Xenopus tropicalis: one gene and its partners. The protein of the gene in region 3 interacts with the protein of the main gene of each other region in a pairwise test. Links are inferred from orthologs where the notes say so. Each region holds a gene or a part of one and is shown on either strand. Other genes may lie near its edges. The genes, in order: fam214b, tcf19, dnaja3 and htt.

Region 1 (5,342 bases), on a different chromosome or scaffold from region 3:
CTGGGTAACCAGAACCCCCCCTGCTGTACCACTGGGACAGGCACAGTAAACCAGAACCCCCCTGCTGTACCACTGGGGCAGGCACAGTACTCCCTGGGTAACCAGAAAACCCCCCCTGCTGTACCACTGGGCAGGCACAGTACTCCCTGGGTAACCAGAACCCCCCCTGCTGTACCACTGGGACAGGCACAGTACTCCCTGGGTAACCAGAACCTCCCCTGCTGTACCACTGGGACAGGCACAGTACTCCCTGGGTAACCAGAACACCCCCCCCCATTTCCTCTGTCTTAGGGAACAAACATGGCAGCTCCCACCTACATACATTCAATGATTTAGAGAGACCTTTATCGCCGCAGCACTTTCAGACTTGTGCCTAATGTGCCCGCTGGGAATGCTGGGAGGTGTAGTCCCTACAGGGGGCGGGGAGTTCACTTCACGGCCAGAGAACAAAGGAGGCTTCGGAATTTCTTAGCTTTGGAAAATGTGAGTTCTGTTTGTTTGTCCAATGTTTGCGCTTTGTGTCCCACGGCAGGGAACAAACTGTCCCGGGTCAGACAGAAAGCTGCGCCCCAGGTACCGGGGAACCCAAAGGCTTATACTCTACCCCACGGCCTGCTGGGAAACCCACAGGCCTAACTGGATCTACTGATTCTCATTCATTTCTGACAACTGTCTGGCGCCTGGCGACTCATTTCCGCTTTTATACCGGGAGCAGATGCACCGCAGTGACTCACTCAGGAACAAATGTATCTGCCGAGTCATGAACAGCAGCGCAGGGCTATTCCCTCCCTCTGTAGCACCCACTGTGTCACCCACTGTGTCACCCACTGACATGTCACCTAGTAGGGAGTCGTTATCTATAGCAGCACAGAAATAGGCCCAGCCACTCCCACAAGCACCCAGTCTGTGCCTCCTACTGACTCACATAGAATCTCTGCCATAAAGCAGGGCAGGACTGCTGCTTACAATGGGGGGATCAGATAGGATCTGTGCCACTGTGACAGAATGCTCTGTTATACAGATAGCTAGAATCTCAGCCATAAAGCAGGGCAGGGCTGCTGCTTACAATGGGGGGATCAGATAGGATCTGTGCCACTGTGACAGAATGCTCTGTTATACAGATAGCTAGAATCTCAGCCATAAAGCAGGGCAGGACTGCTGCTTACAATGGGGGGATCAGATAGGATCTGTGCCACTGTGACAGAATGCTCTGTTATACAGATAGCTAGAATCTCAGCCATAAAGCAGGGCAGGACTGCTGCTTACAATGGGGGGGATCAGATAGGATCTGTGCCACTGTGACAGAATGCTCTGTTATACAGATAGCTAGAATCTCAGCCATAAAGCAGGGCAGGACTGCTGCTTACAATGGGGGGATCAGATAGGATCTGTGCCACTGTGACAGAATGCTCTGTTATACAGATAGCTAGAATCTCAGCCATAAAGCAGGGCAGGACTGCTGCTTACAATGGGGGGGGGGGATCAGATAGGATCTGTGCCACTGTGACAGAATGCTCTGTTATACAGATAGCTAGAATCTCAGCCATAAAGCAGGGCAGGACTGCTGCTTACAATGGGGGGATCAGATAGGATCTGTGCCACTGTGACAGAATGCTCTGTTATACAGATAGCTAGAATCTCAGCCATAAAGCAGGGCAGGACTGCTGCTTACAATGGGGGGGGGGGGGGATAGGATCTGTGCCACTGTGACAGAATGCTCTGTTATACAGATAGCTAGAATCTCAGCCATAAAGCAGGGCAGGACTGCTGCTTACAATGGGGGGATCAGATAGGATCTGTGCCACTGTGACAGAATGCTCTGTTATACAGATAGCTAGAATCTCAGCCATAAAGCAGGGCAGGACTACTGCTTACAATGGGGGGATCAGATAGGATCTGTGCCACTGTGACAGAATGCTCTGTTATACAGATAGCTAGAATCTCAGCCATAAAGCAGGGCAGGACTGCTGCTTACAATGGGGGATCAGATAGGATCTGTGCCACTGTGACAGAATGCTCTGTTATACAGATAGCTAGAATCTCAGCCATAAAGCAGGGCAGGACTGCTGCTTACAATGGGGGGGGATAGGATCTGTGCCACTGTGACAGAATGCTCTGTTATACAGATAGCTAGAATCTCAGCCATAAAGCAGGGCAGGACTGCTGCTTACAATGGGGGGATCAGATAGGATCTGTGCCACTGTGACAGAATGCTCTGTTATACAGATAGCTAGAATCTCAGCCATAAAGCAGGGCAGGACTGCTGCTTACAATGGGGGGGGATCAGATAGGATCTGTGCCAGTGGGATAGAATGCCGTGTTTCCTTGGGACAGGAAAGTGCAAAGTGCAGTAAATACAATGCAAGCAGAATATACAGGCAGATGTGCCCGGGGCAACTCCCTGCACTAGGGTGGGCCCGGGGCAACTCCCTGCACTAGGGTGGGCCCGGGGCAACTCCCTGCACTAGGGTGGGCCCGGGGCAACTCCCTGCACTAGGGTGGGCCCGGGGCAACTCCCTGCACTAGGGTGGGCCCGGGGCAACTCCCTGCACTAGGGTGGGCCCGGGGCAACTCCCTGCACTAGGGTGGGCCCGGGGCAACTCCCTGCACTAGGGTGGGCCCGGGGCAACTCCCTGCACTAGGGTGGGCCCGGGGCAACTCCCAGCACTAGGGTGGGCCTCCCCCAACTCCCAGCACTAGGGTGGGCCTCCCCCAACTCCCAGCACTAGGGTGGGCCTCCCCCAACTCCCAGCACTAGGGTGGGCCTCCCCCAACTCCCAGCACTAGGGTGGGCCTCCCCCAACTCCCAGCACTAGGGTGGGCCTCCCCCAACTCCCAGCACTAGGGTGGGCCTCCCCCAACTCCCAGCACTAGGGTGGGCCTCCCCCAACTCCCAGCACTAGGGTGGGCCTCCCCCAACTCCCAGCACTAGGGTGGGCCTCCCCCAACTCCCAGCACTAGGGTGGCCTCCCCCAACTCCCAGCACTAGGGTGGGCCTCCCCCAACTCCCAGCACTAGGGTGGGCCTCCCCCAACTCCCAGCACTAGGGTGGGCCTCCCCCAACTCCCAGCACTAGGGTGGGCCTCCCCCAACTCCCAGCACTAGGGTGGGCCTCCCCCAACTCCCAGCACCACAGAGCCATATCTCTCAGGACAAGCTCCCTGCCATAAGGACTAAGGGGAAGGGGTTAAAGAGACCTGTGAGGAATGCAGATGCCCCTCCCAGAGGGCGTGTCCAGCAGTAGATAGAGTGTAAGCCCTGTGGCCCAGTACAATGGCAGCCAGTGTTGCACTGATACCCCTCCCCCAGGGCAGACTTACCCCAAACTTTCCCAGGCAGGGGTGTGAGGCCCGGTGGGGGGAGGCTCCGGGGAGAGGGCACAGAGGGCCGGCTGGATCCCGGGGTGCGGGCGGGCGGGGCGGTCGGTCTGTGACGGGAGGATTCGGCGGCTCCGGGGCCACAATCTGCCTCAATAGCGCCGGAGCCCTGCGCCCTCACTCTGCCAGCTGATTGGGCTTGGCCCCTCCCTAACCCCGCCCCCTTCACTCACGGTCGGCCCGCTGATTGGCTGTAAAAACTCCTTTCTCATTGGTAGGCAGGGAAGTCACAGCTCAGCTCTCTCCTCCTCCCAGCTCACCTTGCGCTCATTAACCCCTGCCCTGCCGGCCCCCCCTCTTATCTCCCCCATTAACCCCTGCAAACCCCTACTTATGTAACCTTGAAGCATTAACCCCTTCCTCTTCTCAGCTGTACTATTAACCCCTCCCCTGCCATCTCCTTCTCAGCTGTATTATTAACCCCTCCCCTGCCATCTCCTTCTCAGCTGTACTATTAACCCCTCCCCTGCCATCTCCTTCTCAGCTGTATTATTAACCCCTCCCCTGCCATCTCCTTCTCAGCTGTACTATTAACCCCTCCCCTGCCATCTCCTTCTCAGCTGTACTATTAACCCCTCCCCTGCCACCCCCTTCTCAGCTGTATTATTAACCCCTCCCCTGCCATCTCCTTCTCAGCTGTACTATTAACCCCTCTCCTGCCATCTCCTTCTCAGCTGTACTATTAACCCCTCCCCTGCCACTCGCTACCCTCCCTTTCTCAGCTGTACTATTAACCCCTCCCCTGCCACCCCTTCTCAGCTGTACTATTAACCCCTCCCCTGCCATCTCCTTCTCAGCTGTACTATTAACCCCCTCCCCCTGCCATCTCCTTCTCAGCTGTACTATTAACCCCTCCCCTGCCATCTCCTTCTCAGCTGTACTATTAACCCCTCTTATTAACAACTTATACTGTAATGTCACCCACTGTGACCTACAGCACTTACATTTGCCCATTTGTGTCTGTTTGTTACCCCTCCCATATAGATTGTAAGCTCTACGGGGCAGGGACCTCCTCCATCTTGTGTTTCTGACTCTTATTGCAACTGTACCTTGTATTTATTGTATTTATTGTTGTACTTTGTATTTATTCATTATCTTTAACCCCCTGTTTGTATTAATGTATTCTACTGTACAGCGCTGCGTACATAAGTAGCACTTTATAAATAAAGATATACATACATACATACATACATACAACTGCCACCCCCTTCTCAGCTGTATTATTAACCCCTCCCCTTTCAGCCCGGGCACATATGACCTTGCCCTGCCAGCCCTCTAGCTGAATGGGAGCAACTCCCAGCAACACTGTTCCACCATCTAGTGGGAACCTTCCCAGAAGGGCAGGGGCAGTTATAGCAGCAAGGGGAGGGGCAACCCAACTGACCCCCTGTGGGATGGAACCCCGACTGTGAGCCTGACCCCCAACATCACTGCCCAACCTCACTAATGGCACAAGCAACATTCCCCGGGCAGGTGGCACCGCTAATACCCACAGGTACTTACCCTCCCCTATGTGCAGACCTAGGTTTGTGCCCCCGGTGGTTGGTGCAGGGGCAAATCCGACCCTACAGACACCGCAGAGTAACAAGACCTGTTCCTGGCACCGTGGCCCCGTGACTGGCGCATCCCCCCCAAGGGCCCCCAGGATCCAACTCTTCTGCCATCTGTTCCTTTGTCTCCCCGGCCAATCACTGTCACACACACAGAGCGATGGGTTAATGAGTGCGCGGCCCCTTTAACTCCGAGCAGGTAACTCACCCAGATGCTGAAAGCTAATTAGTACCCGGGGGAGCGAGCCGACCCCTAATGATGGTACGTTCCATATAGGGGGGGGGGTAAGGCAAAAGGAGATAAAAGCATAACAATATCAGCCGATATCTTGTAGAGAATGTACCCCCCCCCTCTGTACCCGCCAGTTCCCTACCCCCGTGCCAACGACTTACTGCCCCCCCACTTGTCCACTAC
Region 2 (5,421 bases), on a different chromosome or scaffold from region 3:
GGTGCTTCCTTGGGCGTCCACGTGGTTTCCTTAGAGGGGAAGAGAGAAAAAAAAAATTGTATTGAAAATGCACTTAATGATATTCTCCATGTTTTCTACCAACAAATACAAATGTACTGGTTTTTAACTTGTGTTATGCCGCTATTGCACCAAGGTTTTGCTTTATAAATTTAAATTGCATGAATATGAATATTTTTAAAATCATGTCACCTGATCAATTTCTAGGACAGTATAATTGGATCATAACATTTACAATTCATAAGGTTACCATTAACTTTATGATAATTAAAAGATTATCAGATGGTCCTGAAATTGGTAATGTTTTGGTGTAAAAGAATACCATCTATGGCAACCTTAACATGTTTAAAGATGACAGACAAGCCCTTTTACTGATGCAGCTCAACCAATACCATGGAAAGCATGGAAGTTATTCCATAAGGTACATACTGCAGGGTGCAAGAGTAATAACATATGGGATAATGGTAGCTAGAATCCGACAATTTTGAACAGTTAGAGAAATTACTTAAAACAAGCCAGTTTCCTTGGTGAAATCACAATTTTATGTTGATAACAATTCTTAATACCTTCCAGTCTGCTCATGATTAACCATTTTCCTCTCTTCTTTCCTTCTTCCTCTTTTCCTCTTCTTCATTTCTCCTACTTCTACCTGTCCATCTTCTTCATCCTCTTCTAGTTCACAAAGTACTTGATGCTGTGCTTTTCTTCGGCTGTGTCTCCTTTCAACTCCAGTCCGAGAGGGTAAAGGAAGATCAGGCGTGGATGGTTTGGTCAGTTCCACTGCTCCTCCCATGAGCCCAATGCCCTGCATCCTTTCACGCTTCATTTTACTAATGCTGCCAATGGAGTTCAGAATAACAGTGGCTCCAGTAGTATAGTGAGGTGACCCGCCTCGCCCTCCACTAAGTCTCTGTGTGGCTAAAACTGGGGTAAAACCAGGAAAAGAGGATCGAGCACGTGGGGAAGTGATAGCGGAAAAGTCCAATGGACGCACTCTAACACGCTGGAAAAGGAAGTACGTGTCAGGGGAAGATGACTGACATGGCGAAACATCTGATTTTTCTTGGAAGCGGAGGAGGTCACCATCTGAAAGTTCCATTCTCTGTCCTTGCAAAAGATGAACATCATTTATGTATATACCTGTTTGAGGACACAAAGGGAATGTACCTTAATAAAAGCATTGCAGTAATGGCAGAAGAGTAAGAAAAGTGATTGTTTGCGGTTGAATTGCTGGATCTCCAGTAAGAAACTAGTTTCTATACTGTACCTGGATAATCAATTCAACATTCTAATGATGAAGATATGGATATTAAGTGGAAATCTGTATTCCAGTAGGCATACAGCAACAAAAATATCAATCCCTACCACTGTCAGATGCAAGCATATACTTCTGCAGAATGCATATGTACCTTAAATGAAGTAACTTCAGTTAGCTCTATCTCCATTGCTAACTTCATGACTACGGTCCCTCAAAACACACACACATCATTCAGTCTGCCCACTGTAAAACACAACTATAACAACTTGCAGCATCTCACCAACCATTCTATAGCTGTCCCTTACCTACACTGACATTTCCTCATGTTATTAATCACATGCCCACACTGTTTCATTTTATGGCAGTCCATATAGCCATGACATTGCCTTTCCTTGTTTTCCCTCAAACTTTAGCCAAGCACATCACCCATTATTTAATATACCATACATTGTAAAAAGTGTTCTTTTGTGGCAGTGAGGATGGAACAGGGCTCTTTCTGCTCTAGAGATCCAGCACCTCTCTTAAAGTGCCCGTACACCTTCAGATCCGCTCGCTTGGCGATGTTGCCAAGCGAGCAGATCTTCTCCCGATATCCCCCACCTACGGGGGGGCAATATCGGGAGAATCCAGGCTAACTCGATCGTTTGGCCCTGGGGCCAAACGATTGAATTATAACGGCAAGTATAGGCAAAGTCAGTCCGGGGACCGCATCAACGAGCCAATGCGGTCCCCAATCAGACTAGATTTTTTAACCTGCCCAATCGATATCTGGCGATTTCAGGCCAGATATCAGTTGGGCAGGCCCGTCGGTAGTGCCCATACACGGGCCGATTAGCTGCCGAATCGGTCTAAGGGACCGATATCGGCAGCTAGAATCGGCCTGTGTATGGGGACCTTAAGCTTTGAATACAGGCCCACTACTGCCACAAAAAGGGGAATCATTTTCTTAAGAAGCTGTCTGTTTAGGGCAGTGTCTAAAGCTGGCCACACACGTGACGATTTTCGATATTTCATGTGACCTTTGGTCGCATGAAAGATCCTTCCAACCCTCCACTGACGTTCAGGGCTAAATCGTCAGATATGGAGGTAGAAACAATAGGATTTCTACCTCCTTCTGCCGATTCAGCCATGAAGGTTTTGCCTTCAATGGCGCCCAATCAGCGAGTCGACCAATATCTGCAGCCTTCTGCCATATTGGTCACCTTGCCGAGTTGCCATACATGCACCAAGGTTCCGTGCGATATTATCGGTGCGTGTATGGCCAGCTTTACAGTTATGGCAGGGGAAATAAAAGCTTTGAGAATGAGAGCACTCTGTGGGCTTGTGAGCAGCGCTGTATGTTTCACAGGGTTACCAACACAGCTAAGTAGGGTGTGTGAGCATTGGCTTGGGATAACAAACATAAAGGGCGATAGGTGGAGTACAATGAGCCCAAAACAAAGAGAGCCTGGGCATACCTAAGAAATAGTTGTTCACCAGATAAGAGTGATGAAATCTCTACATATCCTGAACTATTTGGCTACAAACTTACCAAAGTGAGTGCAGCTTTCCAAGTTAACCTTCCAGTCTCCTGAGAGCTCCCGCTCTGCATGTATTTTTGCATGGACAGCAGGTTTTCCAGGGAGGGGGACATCACATAAATCATGCTGGGCTCCCAGTCGGTAGATGCAGCATGGCGAGTCTGGCAGGAAAGTATACAAATCTCTGGACGCTGTGCTATTTGCATTTATGCTTGACTGTCCTGGGCTTGAGCCCATGCGCAAAAGCTGGAAACAGGGCTGTACCTGTGTAAGCACAACTTCTGACCCTACCATGGCAGCCTGCCAATTTTCTGACCAACCCACCTTTTTCCCACTACCTTAATGGAGTCCCTTACCCACAATGAAATACTGTCCCTGCTAGTCTAAATATATAGATTTTATTTATAAGTTTAGGTGGAGCTCTTTGTCGCAGTGCAGCACACTAATACTTAATAGCAGCCCTAAACCTCGCACAGAAGAACCATCTCACCTAATTCTATCAGCAACACAATGCCCTTGTACAGAACAGAAACTAGACCGACTAAGGCTGCCTAACCTAACACTGCAGACCTCAATATAGTTTGCATCCCACACTATTACAGTAGATGTACTCTTCATGCACAAATCTCCCCCTAGCAATTACTTCCCATGGGAGTCGCAATATAGCGGGGGAGACTGAGTGCGTGACGTCACGGTTCCCACCGAGCCGCCGCTACCAGCTGAGCCCAACTCTGACCGGGACCACGGCGGGAAATCAGAGGAAGGAAGCGCGCCTTTGAAATTTGGCGCGTTATCGCCCATAGGTTGACACCCACCTCCTTGTAACCACGCCTACAAACGAACTGTCTGGCAAAAAAACACTGTACCTAGCCGACAACAGTTTTACTCACTTTATACTGATTGGTTAAGAGCTCTCCGCGCCTGTTTTTTTTTACCAGCCAAACTCTCGCGAAAGAGACTTCGTGTCTTCTATGATTGGCGGCTTAGTTTCCTCTGTGCTTATGATTGGATAGCAGCTACGCAAATATATCTTGCTTAACTTTATTGGAAACAAACAAATACGAACAGTGAGTGGGTAAAAGAAGGTTGCCAGGAGGAAGGATTTGTTGTAGTTCTGTTTGGAATGGTGTTAGTTATACGGCTGCAGTAGGATAGGGGATTGGTTCCCGGGCTTAAAGCCGCGAAATTTGTTGATCGCAGAAGGGAAAGCGTACAGAGGAATGTATTATAGTTCCATCACAGTCATGGGTCGGGTTGTTATTACCATGCTATCCATAGATGTATGCTCTTGAGTGGCGAGATTGTTATTAAGATCTGTTGGGAAATAGAGACTTCAAGCCTATATTCACTCAGTAGTAGCAGGTAAGCAAAACACAAATGTTTGCCAGTGACGCCAAGATTTTTTACATGAACTTATGTTTTAGAGTGGAAAATTCTGAGAAAATATGCAGGTCTTTTTATTTGTAAGTTTTGTATTTAGCAGCTGTCCAGTTTGAAATGTCGGCAGCAATATGGTTACTAGGCACCTGTTTACACTAGCCACCAGCAGTTGATTGAATGAGAGAGTGCAATATAAAAGAAAAGTACCTGAATAGAAGTGAAATCATTTAAAATAGGGCACACTAAGCCCCGCAACCAAAACTCTGTATTAAAGCTGAAAAGCGGCAGAAGAGAATTGTACATAATCCAAAAAATTGAAAGACTGGTTAAAAAGTTTCTAAGGATAGGCCATCCTATAACATAATACAGGTATGGGACCGGTTATTCAGTATGCTCAGGACCTGGGGTTTTCCGGATAAGGGATCTTTCTGTAATTTGGATCTCCATAACTTAAATCTGCTAAAAATAATTTAAGCATTGAATAAACCCAATAGGCTTGTTTTGCCTCCAATAAGGCTTAATTTTATCTTAGTTGGGATCAAGTACAAGGTACTATTTTCATTACTGAGAAAAAGAAAATAATTTTTTAGAATTATTTGCTTTTAATAGAGTCTATTGGAGATGGGCTTGCTGTAATTCAGAACTTTCTGGGTAAAAGGTTTCTGGATACGGGATCCCATACCTGTAATAGGTAAATTAAAGGAGAAGAAAAGCTAAAAATCACTGGGAGTGCCACGCATACGCAGCAGAGTGAAAAAGCTGGATTTTTTGTTAGTTCAGCTTTTTACTCTACTGCTTGTGCGCAAGCAGCAAGAAAAGAACGAGAATGGCTGGCTCACAGCTACCCCGGGCTGGTATGCTTTTCTCCTAACAGGAGCACCAGCCTGGGATAAAAAGTAAGCCATTACAGTCACTGGTGGGTGCCCCCTGGCACTCCCAGTGATTTTCCCTTTCTTCTGCTTTAAGCAACAAAATGATAAAAACACAAATTTAACAATTTTTAAATATATAAAGGTGACCTTTAAGGACAAGGAAAGCTAATTTCACCTAGGGTGCACCTCCCAGTGAATTCAGTCACCTATGGGTGTAGTTATTAACATTTGATACAGATGTCATCAGTGCATCAATGTCATCCGGTTGCTATGGGCAATATCACTGGTGATCAGGGTTGGACTGGTGGGTGCAGTGCCCACTGGGGCTCCTGCAGGTGCCCCAGCCAGTCGCGTCCCCTAACCCCCCTGCAGG
Region 3 (4,403 bases):
CCCCTCCCAGGTGTGACTTGTCTGAAAGCCCAAGGGCCAAATAAGCGAATAACCCAGTCTGAATCCAAAAACAGTTTTTTGTCATTGTATGGATCCTATAAAACACTGGGGCTTATTTTGTAACACTGGGCAATTTTACCCCAGTGCATTAACCCATATCAACCAATCGCACAACTGCATTAATTTTCTGACTTCCAGTAGAGTGTTTAAAGTTTATTGCAGATTGGTTGCTATGCATTGCTGCACTAAGGGAAAATGACAGTTAGGGAAAAGACACATGAGCAGATAAGTCACCCCATGAAAATTCTCCTCTAGTGGTGGAGAATAATCTCCTCTGAAAGCTTTCCTACTGGCGATAATGTAAATCGCTGGTGGGAAAAAATATGAGACACTTTGGCTTTCTGAAGGCAACTTCGGAAAGCTGAAGCGACACGTTTTTCCACTGGCAGAAAAGCATTCAGAGGAGATTGGTTGCAACCGCTAGAGGATATTTGCGGGGTGGCTAATCTCCTCATGTGTCACTGCCCTTAGTAAGTAAGCCCCACACCTTTCCTGTAGCTGGGGTAACCTGTAAGGATCACTCACCTGTTGTTGTGTTAGTGATGCCATTTACTGTTCCTTCTACATCTGTCTCATCTTCTGCAAAGCTAAGCATTAGCATCCGTTGCCTGTCAGTCAAATGCCTGCACAAAAGGGGAAATTTGCCAATTAGTTAGGCTGCATTTATTTTACCCAGCTTGGCATTCCATAATGTTCTCTCATAAGATCTCTCACCTGGGTACTCTGACCTTGATGTGGATATAGTGATCTCCAAAGCCATAACTGTTCATACGAGGGATACCTTTCCCACTGATCCGAATCCTCTGGTCTGCTTGTGTGCCGGCAGGGACCTGGGAAGAGTAGCAAGAGACCGGTTTTAGGGGTTGAACTACATGACTTTTTTAAAGATTAAATAAATACTAGGTATTGACCACATGCATCATTTTTTAATTTGACCAAAATCCTATATATTGGGGGGGGAATAATATGGTGAAATCTTAAAAAAAATATTGCTTTACCCCCATTAACTATTTTTTGAAAGTCCTTCTATGGTAAAAGGCTAACTTCCCAGTGACCCTGTATTCAAGCTTAAAACAAAGAGTAGCGCAGCAAATATTGCAAAAAATATCCATCTTGAAGATGAAAAGAACTCACTCCCATTTTCTGGCATCATATCTGCCAAACCTCAAGAGTTAATAAACATGCCCTGAAGTGTTGGGATTGGGCCAAAGCCTGGGTTTGGTGCGTTCATAGTTCCTGCTATTCTGACCATGCATAACAAATAATAAGACAGTTATACTTACAGGGACATTGATGGGATCATAAAGTCCTTGTGCACGAGCCGAACCCCCCAGAACAGCTTGAGCAATGGAAATATACAGGTCCGAGTGAATATCTGCCCCATCCCTTCTAAAGATTGGACTTTTCTGCACCTGTAACAGACCAGGGGTTTTAATGCCAGTCCTCCAGTACCTGAGACTGAACAGGATGTAAAAAAAATTTCTAGGACTGAAACCTTTAACTTTTATCACAACACAGAGAGTGCTATTTTAAGACAATTTGCAATTGGTCTTCATTTTTTATTTGTTGTGGTTTTTGAATTATTTAGCTTTTTGTTCAGCAGCTATCTGGTTGCTAGGGTCCAATTTAACCTAGCAACTGGGCAGTGGCTTGAAAAAGAGACAGGTATATGAATAGAGGAGGGCCTAAATGTAAAGATAAGTGATAAAAAGTACAACTGTAGCCTTACAGAGCAATATTAATTTTGGCTGGAAAGAGTCAGAAGAAGGTAAACAATTTCAAAACTATAACAGACAGAAAACGAAGACCAGTTGGAAAGTTGCTAATAAGCCATTCTATAAGTTGAAGGTGAACCACCCCTTTAACATGACCGAAGCCTCCAGCAGAAATAATAAAGTAAATTTTTAGCAGCAAATCTACTTGACAAAAGTAGGCGAATTTACTACTGAAGGAGAAAACATAACATGTCTGATGCAAGACAAGCAGGCTGCTGTGTAACTAAAGCACATTGCCAAGGATAAGCATTACTGCCCTCTGCTGTGCAGGGATGGGTAGTAACACAATACTCCTGTAACTCATTACTTCTTAATTCTCAAATCATATTATAAGAAAACAGTTGTCAAAATCTGTGGACAGCACAGGCAAGTTAGGGAAAGGCAACCCCACTTAGAACTGAAAGCATTTAGGACCCAGGAGAAAGCACCTACCCGAAATGTAATAAAAATCTCTTTCTTTCCCACCGGCATCCGAACTGTCTGCCCGTCTTCCACACCTGTCAGGAATCAAAAATGAGACTCCATTGTACATTCCAAAATGGATCACAATTTATATATCTATTTACCTGCAAGAAACTTACCAGCAGGCACAGGCACTGTAACAGTTTTCTTCTGCTTTGTTTGGCCAGAGCCTCTGCATGACAGGCAAGGGTTGGTCATCGTAGCTCCCTTCCCACCGCAGCGCCGGCATGTTGAGCGCATCACAAAGGGGCCAGTGTTGATAGTTTCCTTGATTAAACAAACAAACGGTCATATCTTGCCTGACCAAAATCAGCGTGACACAGGTGCCTATGTCAATGTCGTTCTTACCATGCCAGTTCCATTGCAGTAATGGCAGTGCTGCAGTTTGGTGCCGGGCTCATTTCCTTTCCCATCACACCTCTGGCACGTGTCCGTAATGTTTACAGAGATCTGCTTATTCACTCCCTTAGCCGCCTGAATGAACGTGAGATCCATGATGTACTGAAAGAGAGAAGTTTTATCGCCTGGTAAAGCAACGCCACTTATCCAAAATATGACCATTGCTTCTTGCTACTCTCTCAGGACTGGATGGGGATGCAAAATAGGCCCTGGCATTTCAAGAACACAAAGACCCAAACAGCCCCCCACCAGCCCAATAAATAGTGACTGTCTATGGCATCTTACAGCAGCCCCTCTGGCATTTGCCAGAACCCACAGATTGCCAGTCTGGGCTTTTACTCTCTTACCTCTTGCGGCTGCTCAAACATGCTACCCAAGTCTCCGAATGGGGAGCCAGAAAACTCCCCAAAGATCTTTCGGAACAGTTCCTCTGGATCAACAGTAGGACCTCCTCTCCAGTATTGTTGTCCTCCTCCCCCTGCTGCCCCAGCAGCAAAGTCTGCAGTTCCATAAGTGTCATACTGCTTGCGTTTAACCTCGTCGCTCAAAACCTAAGCAGGAAAACGGACATCAGATTGCGCCAGCGACAGTTCTTAGGAATGTCATTTAATTCAAAATCTGGATTTTGCCAAGTAGGAGTTTAAATGCACTGTCCCTGGTTGTCAAAGTAAATGATAAACTGAAAGGCCAAGTTTGGGCGCCTTTCCAGCAGCTTAAAAAAAACTCTTTGGCAGAGAATATGCCCCTGTGCCCTTTAGAACTGTTACCTCGTATGCTTCTGCCAGCTGAGAGAACTTTTCTTTGGCTTGCGGATCCTCCTTGTTAGTGTCTGGATGGTACTTTTTGGCCAGCTGGAAAGGAAAACAGCAGCAGTTAAATGCAAAAACTTTGTGACAAGGTAAAAGGAAGAAGAATTCCAAACTGATTATATCAGAAGCAGTTGCCTGACAATGTGGGCGCACTAGTTAGTCAGGTGATGGTCACTATAATGTGTGGCAGAACCTGTGGGTGCACTCATGCAGCAAAGTGACTGCTACTGAAAGAAAACAAGGGGGAAAGTCTGAATGTGTTACCCCCTTCCAGCAGAGCAAAGACAAAACACTTGGGGGTGTATTTATTAACACTGGAGACAAGCATCACAGGTAATGTTGCTCATAGCATCCAATTTGATCTTTGCTTTTGTTTTCCAACTTGTAGATGACCATACTAATCTAATTGCTGATTGGTTGCTATGGGAAACATCACCGGTAATGTTTGTTTCCAATGTTAATAAATACACCCCTTAGAATCTCCCCATTGGCCATTGCCATAAATGATGATGCAACAGACCCCCAGTTACACAAAGTAAAATAAATGAATAAGAACCTTGTCAGCTCTGTAAATAAAATTAAGAAGCCTCAGCAGCAGCATTTAGTCATTTTTAAAGGGGTATGTTACAGAACGGTGTATTAGCATCTTTTTAATTGGTCTTTATTTTTTTTTTGTCTTTCTCTTCTACCTCTCTCTTGCTTCAAATGGAGGGTCTGAAAATTATAGCCATCTCCAGCTACAATTTTGGAATTTTTTTATTTATTGCTTATTATCATATTCTAGCCTCTCATTCACACCACTGCTTGGTTGCTAGGGAAAATTGGACCCTGCTGAACAAAATCCTAAATCATTAAAAAAAAAAAAAAAAAAAAATATATATATATATATATAAAAATG
Region 4 (4,876 bases), on a different chromosome or scaffold from region 3:
TTATGGGGGCAATTGAGGCACTGTGTATGGGGGCACTGTTTATGGGGGCAATTGGGGTACTGTGTATGGGGGTACTGTGTATGGAGGCACTTTCTATTGGGGCCCTGTGTGTGGGGGCTACTGTCTATGGGGCAATTGGGGGCACTGTTTATGGGGGCAACTAGGGCACTGTGTATGGGGGCACTTTCTATTGGGGGCACTGTGTGTGGGGGCTACTGTCTATGGGGCAATTGGGGCACTGTGTATGGGGGCACTTTTGTAATATTTGGGGGGATATTACCCCCCCCCGTGGACGTCCGTACCATGCGTCCTCTTCCCCTTGCAGTGCCAATCGGCACGCACTGACACTGCTGACATTGGCGCGCGCACCTCTAGTCATGCAAAGCACACAGCAGGATGGCAAGTACTTGATAATTAGTATATTATATAGTTCAGAATCTTTTTTTTCTAGATTTTTCTCCTTTAAAATTGGGTGCGTCTTATATTCCGGAGCGTCTTATATGGCGAAAAATACGGTATTTGCACAGAATTAGCAAGCATTCTGTTTAAATTAGACAAAAATTGCTCATTTGTTGCTCAGGTAACAGAGGGTCTATTAAAGTGTGATAAACATAGTGACAGTGAATAAGAAATTACATTTTAAATGCATACTCTTAAGAAATAGGGTTTAAGTTTGCTATTGTTATGCATATATTAATCAAAACACATTGAGATAAGGGATCCACAATATGTAGCACAATGCATTAAGGATACTAAAAACAATTCTTCTCTATTGTCCCCAACATGGATGTACGCAGCTGAGTTACCATGAAGTATAAGGTGCTGTTTTATTATTAAAGAGAGTTAAAGCGCTATGGAAAATGGCCTTCCTATATTTAACAGCTTTGTGTATCAGTATTGATAAATAGGTCTATTTGCTAAAAACTTTTTAGACAATTGGACATTTCATAAAGCAGCAGAAGTTTCACCCATACAGAGTTTGCTGCTAGAGCCTTACCAATCTCTGTAACAGAGCTACTATCTTAGTTGATACATAAGTTGCACTTACCAATCTCTGTAACAGAGCTACTATCGTAGTCGATACATCAGTTGCATTTCTCTTGTGCTTCTGATGCATCAACTAATGTATTCAAATCTTACAGAGCTTATAAGAGAGAGGAAAGGCAAACAAATTTATTATTACATAGTAAAAAATAATTATTTGCGGTATACTATTTAAAATATTGTGAAAGAGTGAGAATAAGTGGCGTAGACTTAATGTCCCATCTGCCATTGTCCTTGTAGTTGAATGCTTAAAGCTACAAATGCACTATGCAAAAGCTTTTTTTCCCCCTTCGCTGCTGGAAATGCTATTATACATGTATTTTTGCCCTGTTTTGTGCTTGACATAGTTATTTCTATGAAATTTAATGGAAATGTCTATTAGCTCGTTATATAATAGAGTTTCTCCCTGCAGGGCACAAATAACTATTAGCTTTTCATGACAGCTTCAGCACTGAGTATAATAAGGCTGAAATATATTAGCTTGCCCAAATACAGCAAGGGCTGCAAGTAAAACCTTACATTCATTCTGTAACTATAATCAGAGCTTTTACTTGGTACAGAAAAAAAATAGAAATCAGGCAGATGGCAGCTTTTTGGCATACAGTAGGGAGGATCCTTCCTGTGTCCCTAAGTAAAACTGGCCCGAAATGGACCAATAGAACCTGCCAATTCAGTCCCTTCATACCGAGTCAGATTATTATCATTCCATTTATGGGGTCTCCCCTCCTGATATATGCCCAACTTTGTGACTGTTCATGCTTTGATAAATAGACACGTCAGGGTAACGCCATATTTGGCTGAGCTTATATGCAGGCTGAGAAACAGCCTCTCCACTCATACTTGAAATCTTCTGTGTCTGCACCGGGAGCCACGGCGTCGGCCTAGGTACAGACACACGGAGCAGATCAGAATGGAATAATTTCTATATATATTATCATAATAACTTGTGATACCTCCTTTTCCTCAAATTAGTCTTACGTTTTCTTATATTTTATTTTCTCTTAGGAAGAAAGATCCTTCAACAAACAAGAAAGATCGTGTCAATCACTGTCTAACAATTTGTGAAAACATTGTTGCACAGTCTTTAAGGTACAGATATAGTCTGCTTTCGCCCCTTGCCTTGCAGCAACAATTGCTTCTATATTTTCCATTCTGTATTCTGTGTCAATGGCTCTGTGCCCTCTGTAAATGGATTTGTCAGCTCCCTCTTCCACATGCATGTTCTGCTGCATCTATAAATATGTATATAAGTATATGGGGAAGTAGGTTTCCCTAATACAATAATAAAATCCATATCTTTAGTGAGCTTTACATTTGACTTATCTGTTCTTTTGCTATGCATGTAGGTGTTTACATCATCTTTTGGTGCTTTATAGAAATCATTTTTATACACAGGCTACATTTTTACTGTCCTTTCTGGTAGTAGGACTGTCTGTGTTAGTCATGTGTTTTGTTTAAAATATTGATGACCTGCACTCTTGCATTAGGAATTCTCCCGAGTTCCAGAAGCTGCTGGGTATTGCCATGGAGCTGTTCCTACTGTGCAGCGATGACGCAGAGTCTGATGTGCGGATGGTTGCTGATGAATGCCTCAATAAAGTGGTGAAGGTATGTATTGGAGATTGCAGACTATATATGGGAATGTATGAATAAAATTGTCTTGAATTTGACCCTTCACAGGTAATCCTTAAAATAAGGGTTACATTTTTTTGGATAAAAACTCCATAGTTAAGGGCTATGCCACTGGCACTCATGGCAATTAAATAATTAAATCTCCTTCAGTTGTTTCCCGATGACTTCAATAAGAAGTATCTCAAGGAGCTTGACTCCCTCTATTAGTGCTCAGAAGCTAGAGTGATAGTGGATGCATTGCAACCTGCAGCTCTTTTCATTCAAACGATTGGCATACACTCTAGAGCAATTAGTGGCAATTTAATAAACACAAGAAGTAGGACAATAAGAATGCAGCATGTTCTTAGTATAGCACTTAGTGTTCCATATTCCAGTTGTAAATATGAAGAATGGGTATGAAACTGAATACTAAAGAGCAAAAGGCTACAAAACATTTTTAAGCATTTGGATGTCCTAGTTGATGTTAATCGGCAAGGACTAGGCCCCAAATGACCTTTTTCAGTTTTCAACTGAAACTTGGGCAAAATTGCAGCAAACATGGGTAAAATTGCAGCAGAGACGTGATTCCAAACACAAGGTCAGAGTTACAATGGAGTGGCTCAAGAACTAAAAGAAAAAGTCCCTGCTTGCAGATCCTGCCTTAGTTGTCAATATTAAAAACAAAAAGTTATCCAACTATAGCTGGGCATACACTTAAAGATATATTCATTTTGCCACCTTACCATATAAGCAGTTCTTTGCTTAATTTGCCCATCTATCTCCAATTGTTTCTCCCTCAGGTCAATGATAAAGTCATAAGAGTGGCCTATCAGACCTGTTGGGAGACTGTTGCAGATCTTATAAAGATCTGACCAAATATCATTCAGGCATGCTGTCGGCCAGGTACCTGCTTATAAACTGGCCATTTATTCTGGAGTGGTTGAGCCAACAGCTTATGTCAGGCAATATATGTCCAACTTAACATGAACAACCTGGAACAAGTAGCCCGTATGAAAAAGAAAGATAGTGATATATATATATATATATGTCATAGGGGCTGTGCTGAGGCCCCTCTCCCAATCTAAACCACCCATGCACCCATATATATGTTTGTGTGTTAAAGAAAAGTATATTTCTTTCTTATCTAGGCTTTAATGGACTCTAATCTCCCGAGGCTGCAGTTAGAACTTTACAAGGAAATTAAAAAGGTGAGTGCATTTGTAGTTCTGTTAGGTTTAACAAGAGCTTGTTTGTCTCTTCTAACCTAGGGACTCTCAGCTTTTTGTTTGACTCAGGGATGTCTATATGAGCTCAGTTGCTGACTCACAAGGCAAGTTCATATTTTATATTGAAGCTAGAGCAGCTTTCCATTAGGATAAGGAGTTTTTTTCAATCAAGTTATAGAAGATGTAGGAATCAAATTAGGCAGAGTTTTAAACTTGAGCCCTCATATAGGTCATGCCTTCTGCCTCTTACCAAAGAATGATTCATACATAGACAATATACTTCATGCCACTAGGATATATTACCTAACTACTAACCCACATATATCATTGTGATACATTCACAAGGCCTAAATGTTAAGCCAGCATAATATGGGGCTACATTCGGGAAGGTGTGTGTGAGATTAAAGGGATATTGAATATCAGAAAATGGATTTTCATTTTAACTTAATTGTAAATTAGTTTAATTGGCTGCTTGGATTGTGAATAGCAAACAAAGTAATGCCTTGACACCTCAACTCTTGCAATTTGTGTGTGGGTGTTGTGTAAAGCTGTGCTATGCATTTTTTATGAGATTCCACAAAGTAGTGTCAAAGTACTTAATGCCCCAACAGCATTGGGCGCTGGGTCTGTCTCTTAAAACAATGTAACGAGTCAGCTATTATCAGTTGGCTTACAACATTGCTTTAGGAGTCAGAGCCAGGAGGGCAGAGAATGTAATAGACAGCCACTTACTTCAATAACAGTTTACAAATGTGTTTATAATAATTAAAAATGTGTATAAATATTTATTGGAAAGTTGCTTAGAATTACATTTTATGTCACTATGCCTGTATATAGCTCTAATATATAAGTAATAGTTGATGATTCTGCTGGCAAGTTGCATTGTGGGATGCTTAGCTGAGAAAGACGTATCAGTGTGCGTTATTTTGAAATGGTGAATTATACCTGAAGATAATTTATACGAAGACTTGCGACCAGTTCTGACTATTGCTATT

What was found.
Region 1: the proteins of dnaja3 (region 3) and fam214b interact in binary tests that used the Homo sapiens proteins (3 or more experiments, as listed by UniProt). The link is inferred for Xenopus tropicalis from reciprocal best matches to the Homo sapiens genes DNAJA3 and ATOSB.
Region 2: the proteins of dnaja3 (region 3) and tcf19 interact in a two-hybrid assay, tested with the Homo sapiens proteins (2 studies listed by BioGRID and IntAct). The two-hybrid records come from large-scale screens. The link is inferred for Xenopus tropicalis from reciprocal best matches to the Homo sapiens genes DNAJA3 and TCF19.
Region 4: the proteins of dnaja3 (region 3) and htt interact in binary tests that used the Homo sapiens proteins (3 or more experiments, as listed by UniProt). The link is inferred for Xenopus tropicalis from reciprocal best matches to the Homo sapiens genes DNAJA3 and HTT.

Annotation. Positions count from the first base shown.
Region 1 is NC_030677.2:212,898,761-212,904,102, forward strand, and holds the start of fam214b (protein FAM214B), read right to left. Parts: upstream 3,539-5,342; 5' UTR 3,321-3,538; intron 1-3,320. UniProt on the Homo sapiens protein: Transcription regulator that may syncronize transcriptional and translational programs.
Region 2 is NC_030684.2:75,141,038-75,146,458, forward strand, and holds the start of tcf19 (transcription factor 19), read right to left. Parts: upstream 3,655-5,421; 5' UTR 3,091-3,654; coding exon 2,808-3,090; intron 1,159-2,807; coding exon 585-1,158; intron 30-584; coding exon 1-29. UniProt on the Homo sapiens protein: Potential transcription factor that may play a role in the regulation of genes involved in cell cycle G1/S transition. May bind to regulatory elements of genes, including the promoter of the transcription factor FOXO1.
Region 3 is NC_030685.2:20,290,599-20,295,001, forward strand, and holds part of dnaja3 (dnaJ homolog subfamily A member 3, mitochondrial), read right to left. Parts: intron 3,548-4,403; coding exon 3,464-3,547; intron 3,248-3,463; coding exon 3,044-3,247; intron 2,799-3,043; coding exon 2,646-2,798; intron 2,565-2,645; coding exon 2,417-2,564; intron 2,333-2,416; coding exon 2,268-2,332; intron 1,473-2,267; coding exon 1,344-1,472; intron 891-1,343; coding exon 775-890; intron 684-774; coding exon 586-683; intron 1-585. UniProt on the Homo sapiens protein: Modulates apoptotic signal transduction or effector structures within the mitochondrial matrix. Affect cytochrome C release from the mitochondria and caspase 3 activation, but not caspase 8 activation.
Region 4 is NC_030677.2:22,741,903-22,746,778, forward strand, and holds part of htt (huntingtin), read left to right. Parts: intron 1-2,049; coding exon 2,050-2,133; intron 2,134-2,531; coding exon 2,532-2,652; intron 2,653-3,803; coding exon 3,804-3,863; intron 3,864-4,876.